Nothobranchius furzeri: one gene and its partners. The protein of the gene in region 3 purifies or fractionates together with the protein of the main gene of each other region. This does not show direct contact. Links are inferred from orthologs where the notes say so. Each region holds a gene or a part of one and is shown on either strand. Other genes may lie near its edges. The genes, in order: bcl7bb, bicra and smarcd1.

Region 1 (3,753 bases), on a different chromosome or scaffold from region 3:
GAAAATCTATGGGGTATTGTGAAGCGGAGGATGCAATACGCTAGACCCAACAATGCAGAGGAGCTGAAGACGACAGAGCAACCTGGGCTCTCATAACACCTGAGCAGTGCCACAGACTGATCGAGTCCATGCCACGCCGCATTACTGCAGTTATTGAGGCAAAAGGAGCCCCGACTAAGTATTGAGTGCTATACATGCACATTCTTTTCATGTTCATTCTTTTCAGTTGGCCAACATTAGAGAAACAAACATTTTTTCATTGGCCTTTAGAATATTCTAATTTTCTGAGATACCAGATTTGATGTTTTCATTGGTTGTCACCTATAAATATCAAAATTAAACGTAATAAACATCGGAAATACATTGGTCTGTGTGCATTGCATGAATATAATGTACAAGTTTCACGTTTTGAATGGAATTACTGAAATATTTTCAACCTTTTGATGATATTCTAATTTACTGGCCAGCACCTGTACATCATGCAAACATTTAATTTGAGCTGTTTTAAACTGTGCTGAATAAAAGCCGGGCAGAAAATAAAGTAGCAATAATAATAATAATAATAATAATTCAAGTAATAACTAAAATTCATATATGTATGATAAGACTTACTTGTTCTTGCTTCCACAGCTTATATTCATATATAGAATTAACACTTTCTTCTTCTTCTTTTATCTAAAAAAGCATTTTTTTACTAAAATTGTAAGAAAAGAACAAAAAATTATTTAACATTGTTGGCAATTTAGTTCAAATTTTTCTGCTAGACACGTATAAACAAAAATTAAATATTTAAAAGTATCAGTTAAAAAATAAGTACATGTGTTAAATTAATGAATCACTTATAAATCGACACCACACGTGTCCACAGTGAAGGGGATGAGCTCAGACAACAAATTCTCGCGAGACTTCCATTGTTGAAGAGGACTGGGGCTTGAAGTTTTCAGATCTGTAGATGAACCATAACAGCATCAAGATGTCGGGACGTTCAGGCCGCGCAGAGACCCGAAGTCGGGCTAAAGACGACATTAAAAAGGTCCTGGCAGCCATCGAGAAAGTCCGTAAATGGTACGTAAGCTTTATGTGGGAGAAAATTTAGAGGGGATTGTTTTAGTGGACCGTTGCTTGCCATTTTGCTGCGTCGCTCAACAAACTTCAGTCGGAAAAGTTAGGTGATTGGCAACGCTGCTGACCAATCACAGCCTCTGTTGGAACGAAGAGGCGGGGCTAAGATTTTTTTTCCCCTACCCCCTCGTTTGGAGCTGTCAATATGGCTCCAGTTAACTGACATGCGTCGTACTGTGATGTGGACGTTTCGTAATGTGAAAAATGACCGACGAGCTTTTTAAAAATATTTGACCCACTGCCATTACTGCTGCGGGCTGGGAGAACCATTACTAGCTGTGGGCTACACTGGCTACAGACACATCAGGGTGCGGATTAAACAGGCAGAGGGTGCCGACCATCCTCCAGTCCCGACTCCCATATGTGCTTCAGCTAAATCAAAATTCTAGTTTCAACATGTCCATCATTATGGATTACAATGAAACGCATTCATTTTAACAGTTTACAAGGCACGTGTTATACTATAATGCTTTCAGGTGTCATCTAAACATGTGCATGCACATCCAAAATTACACACAGCATGATGAGGAGGGAGGTCTGTCAGCTGTTCACTTGAACATCAACATAGTTTCAATGGGAAATTTACCATTACATTTTTATAAATTTTATGTGATAATAATTCACACATATACTTATCTTGAAATAGCCAGGATGTTCCACAATACAAGATGTACAAATTAATTAGAAATTGTTTAAAACATTGTCTGAGTCTTTGATGGCTCCATAGCGCAAATAAAGTGGGATTTGGATCAGAATTAAATGGAGATAATTGCTACTTAGCATATGATTTATGTTGAACATGGTTGGTGCCATCCTTGTCTTTACAACATAAGAAAAAAATCAATAATCAACAACTAACCACTCCAAAAAAATCCTCCTAATATTAGTATTCAAATATGTTTTCAAGTTTAAACCACTTTTAAGCTTGATAATGGTTAGCTAAACTGTCACTTAATATAAAAGTTAGAAAGATCACCTGTTCTCTAATTAAATTAGGAAACTGAAAGGATGGATAAAAAGTAAATATCCAGGCACTGGTCAAGTAATGGCAAATAGTAGTTATTGTCCAGTTTAGGAGTTACCTGAAATCATAATGCTAATTTCTTTCATATCAAGAAAGAAAAACACATTCTAGGTGAGGTGAAATCTGAACGAATGTTTTTCTTCATTTAGGGAGTTCATGGCTCAGTTGGTGTCTAAACTTGCTGCACGTCTACTAAACTCCTGTATAACAATGATCTATTTTATTTCCAGGGAGAAGAAATGGGTGACGGTAGGAGACACATCTTTACGCATATTCAAGTGGGTGCCAGTAACGGAGACGAAGCAGGTGTGGGCCCTCGTCATGCTTGCTGAAACCAGTACATCTTGTTTATGTTTGTATCCTCCTCGTGAAACCCTCTCTCACTGTTCCATCAGATATTTCGCACCAAATCGACTGGTGGCGAGGGCAGGGGTTTAAAAGATGTGGTCCTAGAGAACAATAATACTTTACTGGATTTTACTGGTAGGTTATTTATAAAGAAGAAACTAATAAATAAGAAATTAGTAACACCTGGCTGTAATGGATGGTCACTTGTGAGCTACATTTTTTTCTCATCTTAGATGAAAACAGCAACCAGAGCTTCCTGTCAGATGTTTATCAGCCAAAAATGGATAACAGCAGCAGCAGCAACTCCAGCTCCCAGCAGGTCAGCCCCCCCCACCCCTACAGCCTCCGAGCTGAAGACTCTCAGCCCCCGATGCTCGGCCAGGAGAGCGTGGACGGTACGGCAATGATTCTGAGTTCAGCTAAGCATCTGCAGTTAGAAGATTTTTTTTGAAGGAGCACATTTGTATTTGTCATTTATTGACATATACATCTACACATCACTCAGAGCCAGCTCATTCAGGACGGGAAGCTGCAGACGAGCCCCCAACTCTCATCAAGGAGGACCCTCTCACATCAGGAGCTGTCAGACGGGGTGCCTCAGACACACAGGTTAACTTTGACTATGTAAACTATTTAAACAAGATTAAACTAAATGATTGATTAGATACGTTACATGTTGTGTGTCTGTTGCATGTTCTGAATTTAATAAAAATATATAAGGACAGAAATGACCTGATCTTTATTTGTTCCACAGGAAGAGTTGGATGAATCAGGAGCACCTTCTTTAAAGCGGATCTGCACAGGGGAAACCACCTCCCTAAGATAGCTTATTTATAACTATTTTTGTCAAAATGCACGGTAGGGGATCTGGGTGGTTGGAAGAATAACAAGGCTGTCATAGTGATTGTTTATTCATATCTACACAAATAGTACTCCATACATTTGAGCTAATGGGGAAAGTATCCCAAGAATGTTGCTTTATTTCTCACTTTGAGAGTCTTTGAAGTCTTGTTTGGTTGAAATATTTTTAAACAAAGTGAAGAGGTTATTTCAGACTATTGTGCATTTCCACACACACTCTGTACATGTTTCAAGATTCTGCCACAAGTTTGATTTTTGTCTTCATGTGTTGCAGTTTTTTTGGCATGTTTCCATCATATTTTTTATGAAGTATTTCGTGTATCTCATTTAGCAGATTGGTGGTTAGATGTGCCATTATATTTGAGCTTGATGGGGGAATTTTTCCAGAATAAAACAAG
Region 2 (3,753 bases), on a different chromosome or scaffold from region 3:
TCACTCGAACCATCCAAAAGGTCGTCAGTGTCCAACTACAGACACACCCACCAAGGGTAAGACAGACAGAAACCAAAGACACCCAAACCAGCAGGCAAAAAAGTCACCAGGACAAACATACAGACCATCAAAACAGAGGGAGGGCAAGGCAAGGGCAGAACATGGTTCAGAGAACCCAGAACGTAAAGCATCAGTAAAGAGATAAGCTACAGAGGAACAAAATGACAGGAATAACTCAAGAGTTGGGAAACGTTAGTAATAGGAATTATTGTTCTGGCAACCCAAATGCAACCATTAGGCAGAGGAGTTATAAAAAGTTTAATGAGAGCAGTGAGGGATGCAGGTTACAGGGTGTATCAACTTGTGAGCCGAAACTGATTTTATTAGAGATGCAAAAGCAACAAAGATAAAACCTGAACAAGTCACTCATCAGTGGAGAACTTGTATCGTGAAGCTTTGCTAAATGCGGCCATTTGTTAGCCCTTCTCATACTTACATGGGTCTCAGATCCATGAAGAAAGTCATTAAGAGCTTCTGGGTCGCTGATGGAGAAAACAACAGATGTGTGACACAATGACACATAACCGAACAATCTGATATAAAATTTCCTACAATACTAGAATCAGGTCTTTCACGCTGTCAGAACATACTTACCAAATTACATCTAGAAGGCACCTGCCGTCTTCATCATCCATGACAACTGTTGAGATGAAAAACACCTTCAAGCTCGGTCATGACTTGTTCAACAATCACAACCAAAATACTCAGTTACATTTTGTATAACATGGTTATTAAGAATTACATGGGGTTTGTCTTAGGTTTAACTTCATAATTATTCTTGACTTTCTCAAACCACATGCTGACTAAATTTTAAACGACATTTTCATATTTACTCCAGCAAAACTCGAGCCATTAAAGACATGTAGATGCAAGATAAAGACTGACTTTCAAAAAGTCTTGAGCCACCGATACAGGCATTTAAACAATCCAAGCGAATAATTACAAATATTGTTAAGTGGCAGTTTTTTGCAGTAAGAGATGGCATGGCACACACCCCAAAAACATCCGGGTAATTATTCAGTAATCATCTGTGTCTTCTTTTGAAGAAAGAGTTCTTTAGTGGAAGTGAGTCTTTCCCTTTAGACATAGGTTTTTTTATTTCCTCCCTGATGGTAAAAAGCTATGAGAAGTCTCCATAGGCCAGCAACAAACTCTTTCTGACTTATGAATAAATGTTTGACAGCAAGAAACGTTCAAAACAATGAAAAAATGTATTCATATACTTTATACACAAATTTTTTCTTTGGAAAAAAATCTTAAAGACCACTCAATGCTATCAGGCATTTAGTTTATATTAAAAACTATGAATCAACATAGAAAGTAATTCTGAGTTCCTAAAAAACGAAAACTGTCTAACCTAGCGTTTGATTATCAATATCAATTACAAAGCGAGATTTTTCCCCATGTACGCTCGGTATCAAACAACCTTGGTGCGGCCCTGAACTCATCGAGACACGTAACAAAACTTAAAATTTCTGAACACGATCAAACAGCAGACAACAAACTGAAAACGCGCGGTTTTCGCACCGCCTGGAAAGATTTTGAGCGTAAGCTGTCGCTGACTTTTAACCGTGCACAGCTCGTCCAACAACACGAAAACCAAACCAACACAGTTTCTATGCAAATAAATTGTGGACATGATGCAGGAGTCCCAGCTGTCCGCCGATCGCAGCTCGGTTACAGAAAACCAGTGCGCAGGATATGAATGGAGACGCTGCAAACGGAATGCTAGATGCTAGCTGATGTTTTTAATGAGCTTTGCATGCATACCTCAACAAATTCCCCCAACGTACAGTATCTGACAGCAACACAGCTGACCTACGACTCAAATGTTTGAAATTAAAACAGTTTCATCCGTAATTTCAGCAATTTGGGTGCTTTTGGGTTGACTTTCGTTAGCCTAGCAAGCTACCCCCGCTATCAACAATATTCAGACGTATAGCTAGCTCGAGCCTTTGACATTCAAAACAAACCAGAGTGACACAATTTTAACACAAATTACGCACAGCGGCAGTCCGGTTGAGCTAAAACGAAGAAATGCTGTCTGCTTATAGTCGTAAACGCAACTACGTGGCGAGCTATTGCTAATTGCAAGCAGAATATCAGTAAATGTTGGAATACTCTTGGATGAGAGGGGGTATGCTTGGGAATTCGTTGGAAAACGAGCCTGTTTACGGTGTGATGCGGCAGTGTGTCGCTTCTTTTGCGGTAGCAGTGCGGTTCGTGTCTGCTGAACAGTTAGCAGATATCGCAGCTTTGTAGCGGATATTGGGATTAATGGAGAAATTGTTACATTGTAACAAACTCACCCGAGACGTTAGAGGTGCAGGCAGCGCGGGGTCTCCAGGACAGCCTCGCACGGGCTGCTCAACAGGACCCAACTACTGGCAGGAAACGGCAGACTTCCGCTCTGCCTGATTGAAATCCATGTTGTTTATCGAGACTTTCTTTACACACAAATACCCATTCGGAACATTAAACGGTTTTTGAACATTTTTGTTGTGTTAATTAGTGCATTCTTAAATTTGACATATTCTTCATGTTAACTTGTTTTCATTTTTAAAACTCAAAAAACATCAATAGAAAGGCAGGAACAGCAGAGGAAGCCTGTGGGGAGAAATTGCTTAAAATGAAATCATAAAAGAAACTGGATCACAAATGTAAAAAAATATAAAAGCAGTCATGTTAACAAATGCCAGCAGATTTGTTAGATAAATGCAACCCAGTCTTGAACTGCAATCAGATTATATGATTTTGGCTAAGAAAAGAACAAACTAATCTACAAAAAGCCTAAGCAAAATACTGTAACATAATCTACAAGAAAACATTCCTTTTCCATATTTTAAATAATTTTTGTATAGTTCTAAAATACGTGATTATTTTTGTAAATTTTAAAAAGGTATTTGAATGTTTGACTCATGTAGTTACCTACCACAACCCATAGCCCTAAAATATGTTTGTCATGTATTTTTCAACAAAATATTTTACACACATTTAATTCACTGTGCTATAATGCAAAGCCTGGAAAACCACTTAACATAGTTGTTATCTATTATTTATGTTAAAATTGTAAAGATTTCAGCTGACAAACAGTTTCATTATGATGCTAACCCATTTTGATTAAAAATGTCTCTTTATAATGGAACTGGCATTGACTAAAGGAAAGCATTTTCTTATTATAATTCTAATCAATATTCCTTTAAAACTGCACTTTTGAAGATATTTACGCTATTACGTTTTATTACAACATTTATGCTTAAATATTGTCACCTTTAATGTCTGATTGCTTATAGAAAAATAATTGGCTGTTGAAAACAGATAACACAAGGGAACTGTTTTATATAGATTGTCATGAACGCACTGTAATGATCCTGAGACAGATTAGAAGCGATTCCTTTGTTTCTACAGCAAATATTAACAACGAACATGTTTCTTAATTAAATTATCGATTGATATATTGTGTTGCAGCATGGTCTACAATCAGTTTATAACATGAAACATTATAGATTTGTAATGGACCAACTCTGGACCGTACGAGCAGCACCTGAAGGCAGCAGGGCTGTGACCGCCCTCCCATTGTCACGTGACAGAGAAAGCGCTGGCTGCTGATGTGACACTGCTGTTAGCAATACTTAGCAACTTTGTTGACTTTAGTATTTTTTCGCCCCCCTTTAGATTCAGAAAAACAAGTAA
Region 3 (3,753 bases):
GGGGAAAAAGAAGATGTTTTTCCAGACGCCAAGAAAAATTAAATGCCAAATCCACCCTGCAAAGTGTGTCACTGAGAGTTTAAAACAGAAATTATTCTTGTGCAAATATTGGTGTATTCACCTTTAATACTAGTTATTACACTGCAGCAGTCGCTGGACTGGTGCAGTTCAAAGTGGAGTGCATCAAATAAAACAATATTAACATAAAGGTGAGACGTGTCATAGTCCCCCCCCCCCCCCGCCAACACCACCTCCACCACAGCTGGAAAAATTCCTAGGGGAAACACTGTCCCTGATGATGTTAGCAGCTAACGAGGGGCAATTAGCTTAAAGAGGCGACTGTCCCCCTTTGTTCTCTGCCACGACGTGCTTCCTTTTAAGGCGTTCGTTCATCAGCATTATCTTCTTGTGAAAGAAGTCCTACTTTGCAGACTTTGCACTGTACATGCTTATTTTTGTAAAATGCTTTCAAACTTTGTGCTACATTGCAGGTCGCCATGTCTTGTTTTTCCGGTGATGCAATGGCTCACCCGAATGGCCGCTACTGCGCACGTGCCTCGAACAGAAAGACCGCAAGCAGCAGTGGTACTGCTGAAGCAGGTAAGATTAAAACAATGCGTAGAATAAACAACGTAGACTATTAAGTTTATTGATGACTATTTTGTTTGTTGATGTCATCATGACAAATCGACCAACCCTGGCAGGACAAGCTAACACTTTTAACCCTCCCACTGTCTTAATGGGTGACCCCACGAGGAAAGTTGACCGTTGAGCAGAATTGATTGTTTATCCCTTGAAGTCCACGTGGCAGTGGTGAGGTGGTGGTCACTAGTCGCCCATGCCACATGGACCCAAGGGATAAACCATCAACCCTGCTCAATGGTCAACTTTCCTCATGGGGTCACACCCATTAGGACAGTGGGAGGGTTAAGGTAAGGCAGACTGAAGCTTTCCCTGGAGCAAGCAGGAGGGAAGCCCCTAGCGCCGACCACCCCTAGCCCTCTGCTACTTGTCCATCAAAAGGACACGCCCCCAATCATTCATAATTTCAAGCTTTTATTACATCTAAACAGAAGAGTTACATAAATTCCCCCCCCCCCCCCATAAGCTGCACACACGTTGACTGTTAAAAAAAAGGTTGCACTACATGAAAAAAATAAATTAAAAAAGCTGCACAACACAACAAAGTGATGATGAACTGCATTGCTAATGCATTTCTTAATCAATTTTTTTCCCCAATTCGTTGTTGCAACAGTAGCTCAGGAGGTTGAGCTAGTTGATTAAATGAATGATCAAAACCTTTAACTGATACTCCAATTACATGAGTTAAACCTATCAGATAGTAGTTTCAACAGACATCTGCATATTAAAAGTTAAATTGAAACATCAGTCTGCACAAACACACAAAACATTACCTTTGTCATTTAAAGAAAAACTTTGCTCAGCTGGCTTGTGTCCTTTGGTGGAAATATTTTGACTTTCTTGATCGCGGGACTAAACTATTATTTTAGTTTTATTGTAACTATAGTACATCTGGAAAACTTTTGTTCTTTAACTCATGATTAAGTAGCACTAGTCTGATCTGAAAATCAGAATTTAGAATAAAGGTGAGGCTTGAAAGTTTAACTAGAATATTTTTAAAGTACAAAATCCATCAGTGACAAATTATTTCCAGTATATTATTAGATCAAAAGCACAAACTTCACGCATTAAAACGGAATTTGAGGCTTTATTCTTATTTAGTTTTTTCCGTCTGGAAAACTGATGGTTTCTTATCAGTGTAAACTTTTCATTCAAAAGCAGACTTTTGATTTTAAGACATCTAATAAATAGAAAATCCCAAACCTAATCGAATTGGGACTTTCAAACGTAACAAACTCACTTTTTGTGAATTTTCCTACACTACTCGAGCCCTCTCGGAGTGCTTTTATTCAAACTACAGAGCAAATTAGCAACGTTAGCATGATGAGCTAACTAGCTGCTTACTAAAACTTTAACGTTTGCGGGCGGGATGGGTTAGCAAATTCAAACACACCGATGGTAACTCAAGGGAAGTGGCTAAAATAAGTTTTGGGATAGACTGACTCTATTCAACCAGCCTGAGAGTTAGTCACAGCTTTGGTCCTCATGGAGAAACAGAAACAACGTTGGCCAGTAGCAACAAAGGAGCGATGAGGGGCTTTGTTCTAGCGAACAAGCTAACGCGTCAGCAGCAAACATGGAACGAGAACTCACCGGATACCCAGGCCCGGGCATCGGAGAGCGGTACATGTGGTTCTGCGCGGCTGACGAAGGCCCCATTCTTCCAGAGGGAGTACCGGGGCCCATACCTGGTCCTGCACCGGTTGCTGGCGGTCCAGGGCCCATTGCTCCACCGCCACCACCCGTCGGAGCAGATTGAAACCCCCCTCTGGCCGCCATCTCCTCTCTGAGTGTCGCCGCCGGTGGAAGCACGAAGCTAACGCGAGAACAAGCTCAATGGGGAGAGTTGGAGATGAAACAGCGCTATCTGCTGCTCACATCTGGTAACAAATAAATTAGCTTTTCTATTGAGATGCTGATGATAGTCTTTCAACCATCCATGAAGCCTGATAAATAAATAAATTAGAAGCGTTGTAGCCCAAAGTGGTGCAGAAAACAACTACATGCTTAATTTTGCATTTTTAAGCATACTAAAAACTTATTTTTATTGTTTTTGTATTTTAATTGGTGTGTTCAATTGATCCAAATGTTGTTTCTGGAGCTCTGAAAAAAGTGTCCACTATACAAATTTAGCATCATTTCAATTGCTTCCTGCAAGACCAAAAATTTAATAAAAACCCATTCTAACTTCGCTCACATATCTGTAACATCTATGACATCTACAAAGTCTGCAGAATATTTTTAAACCAAAACAACATATTCTGGAACTTTTACTGAAAATACCGTAAGAAAAGAGATTTTACTTTAAAGTAGAAGAAAAGCACAGATAAGAATGGTATTTTGAGTGATTTTGTCCCATTTGTCTCATAAAACTGAAATAAGCTGCATTAATTTACAAATTAATCACTTTGACATGCAACACATGAGCATCAGCAGATGCGTAACTTTTATTCAACGAGAAAATACATGCTGAAATGTGAAAAATATCAAAACATTACAGACTGCAGTAATTAGTTCTTTTTTAATTTTTATCAGAAGTTCATGAACTGCAAGTCGCACCATCTCCCTCTGTTTAGGAACATCACACAAATTATACACCACATCTCCTTTCATCACAGCAGGGGAACATAAATTAGTGAGCCAACTGCTTCCGTGTCTGAGAGGTGATCTGAATCTGCGGTGCCTCCATGAGGTTTTTCAGTTGACTCATGATCCTCTTTGAATGCTTGTTGATTGTATGCAGATGCAGAGATCCTAAGATGAGCAAAGTTTTAAATGTTTTGAGCTACGGTCCTGCAAAAATTCACAACAGTTTATGTATTTTTTCCCCCAACTTTTGATGATGTTACACTTTCTCTGTTCAGTATGGAGAATCGGCAGCACAAAACATGGGGCACCATTTGTTTGCATAATCTCTTTGTGTTGGATCAGAAACAGATTGCTGGCTGCCCGGGGGGGGGGGGGGGGGGGGGCATGTGTTTTTGGACATCTAAAAGCATCTACACTGTAATTATAATTTTCATTTTGGGCTTTATACCTTGGTGCACGAACAGGCTTATCCTACAGGCTTCTAAATGTGTTTAATAACAACTAATTGAAAAAATGGTCATT

Evidence for each region.
Region 1: the proteins of smarcd1 (region 3) and bcl7bb purify together in Homo sapiens (affinity purification with mass spectrometry; 4 studies listed by BioGRID and IntAct, counting the BioPlex papers as one, with this or other methods). This does not show direct contact. The link is inferred for Nothobranchius furzeri from reciprocal best matches to the Homo sapiens genes SMARCD1 and BCL7B.
Region 2: the proteins of smarcd1 (region 3) and bicra purify together in Homo sapiens (affinity purification with mass spectrometry; 5 studies listed by BioGRID and IntAct, counting the BioPlex papers as one, with this or other methods). This does not show direct contact. The link is inferred for Nothobranchius furzeri from reciprocal best matches to the Homo sapiens genes SMARCD1 and BICRA.

The regions. Positions count from the first base shown.
Region 1 is NC_091753.1:33,350,507-33,354,259, reverse strand, and holds the start of bcl7bb (B-cell CLL/lymphoma 7 protein family member B-B), read left to right. Parts: upstream 1-901; 5' UTR 902-952; coding exon 953-1,065; intron 1,066-2,376; coding exon 2,377-2,452; intron 2,453-2,541; coding exon 2,542-2,629; intron 2,630-2,727; coding exon 2,728-2,889; intron 2,890-2,999; coding exon 3,000-3,103; intron 3,104-3,248; coding exon 3,249-3,320; 3' UTR 3,321-3,753. UniProt on the Homo sapiens protein: Positive regulator of apoptosis. Plays a role in the Wnt signaling pathway, negatively regulating the expression of Wnt signaling components CTNNB1 and HMGA1.
Region 2 is NC_091753.1:46,788,260-46,792,012, forward strand, and holds the start of bicra (BRD4-interacting chromatin-remodeling complex-associated protein), read right to left. Parts: upstream 2,438-3,753; 5' UTR 2,370-2,437; intron 701-2,369; 5' UTR 696-700; coding exon 655-695; intron 543-654; coding exon 497-542; intron 36-496; coding exon 1-35. UniProt on the Homo sapiens protein: Component of SWI/SNF chromatin remodeling subcomplex GBAF that carries out key enzymatic activities, changing chromatin structure by altering DNA-histone contacts within a nucleosome in an ATP-dependent manner.
Region 3 is NC_091743.1:58,867,915-58,871,667, forward strand, and holds the start of smarcd1 (SWI/SNF-related matrix-associated actin-dependent regulator of chromatin subfamily D member 1), read right to left. Parts: upstream 2,465-3,753; 5' UTR 2,422-2,464; coding exon 2,236-2,421; intron 1-2,235. UniProt on the Homo sapiens protein: Involved in transcriptional activation and repression of select genes by chromatin remodeling (alteration of DNA-nucleosome topology).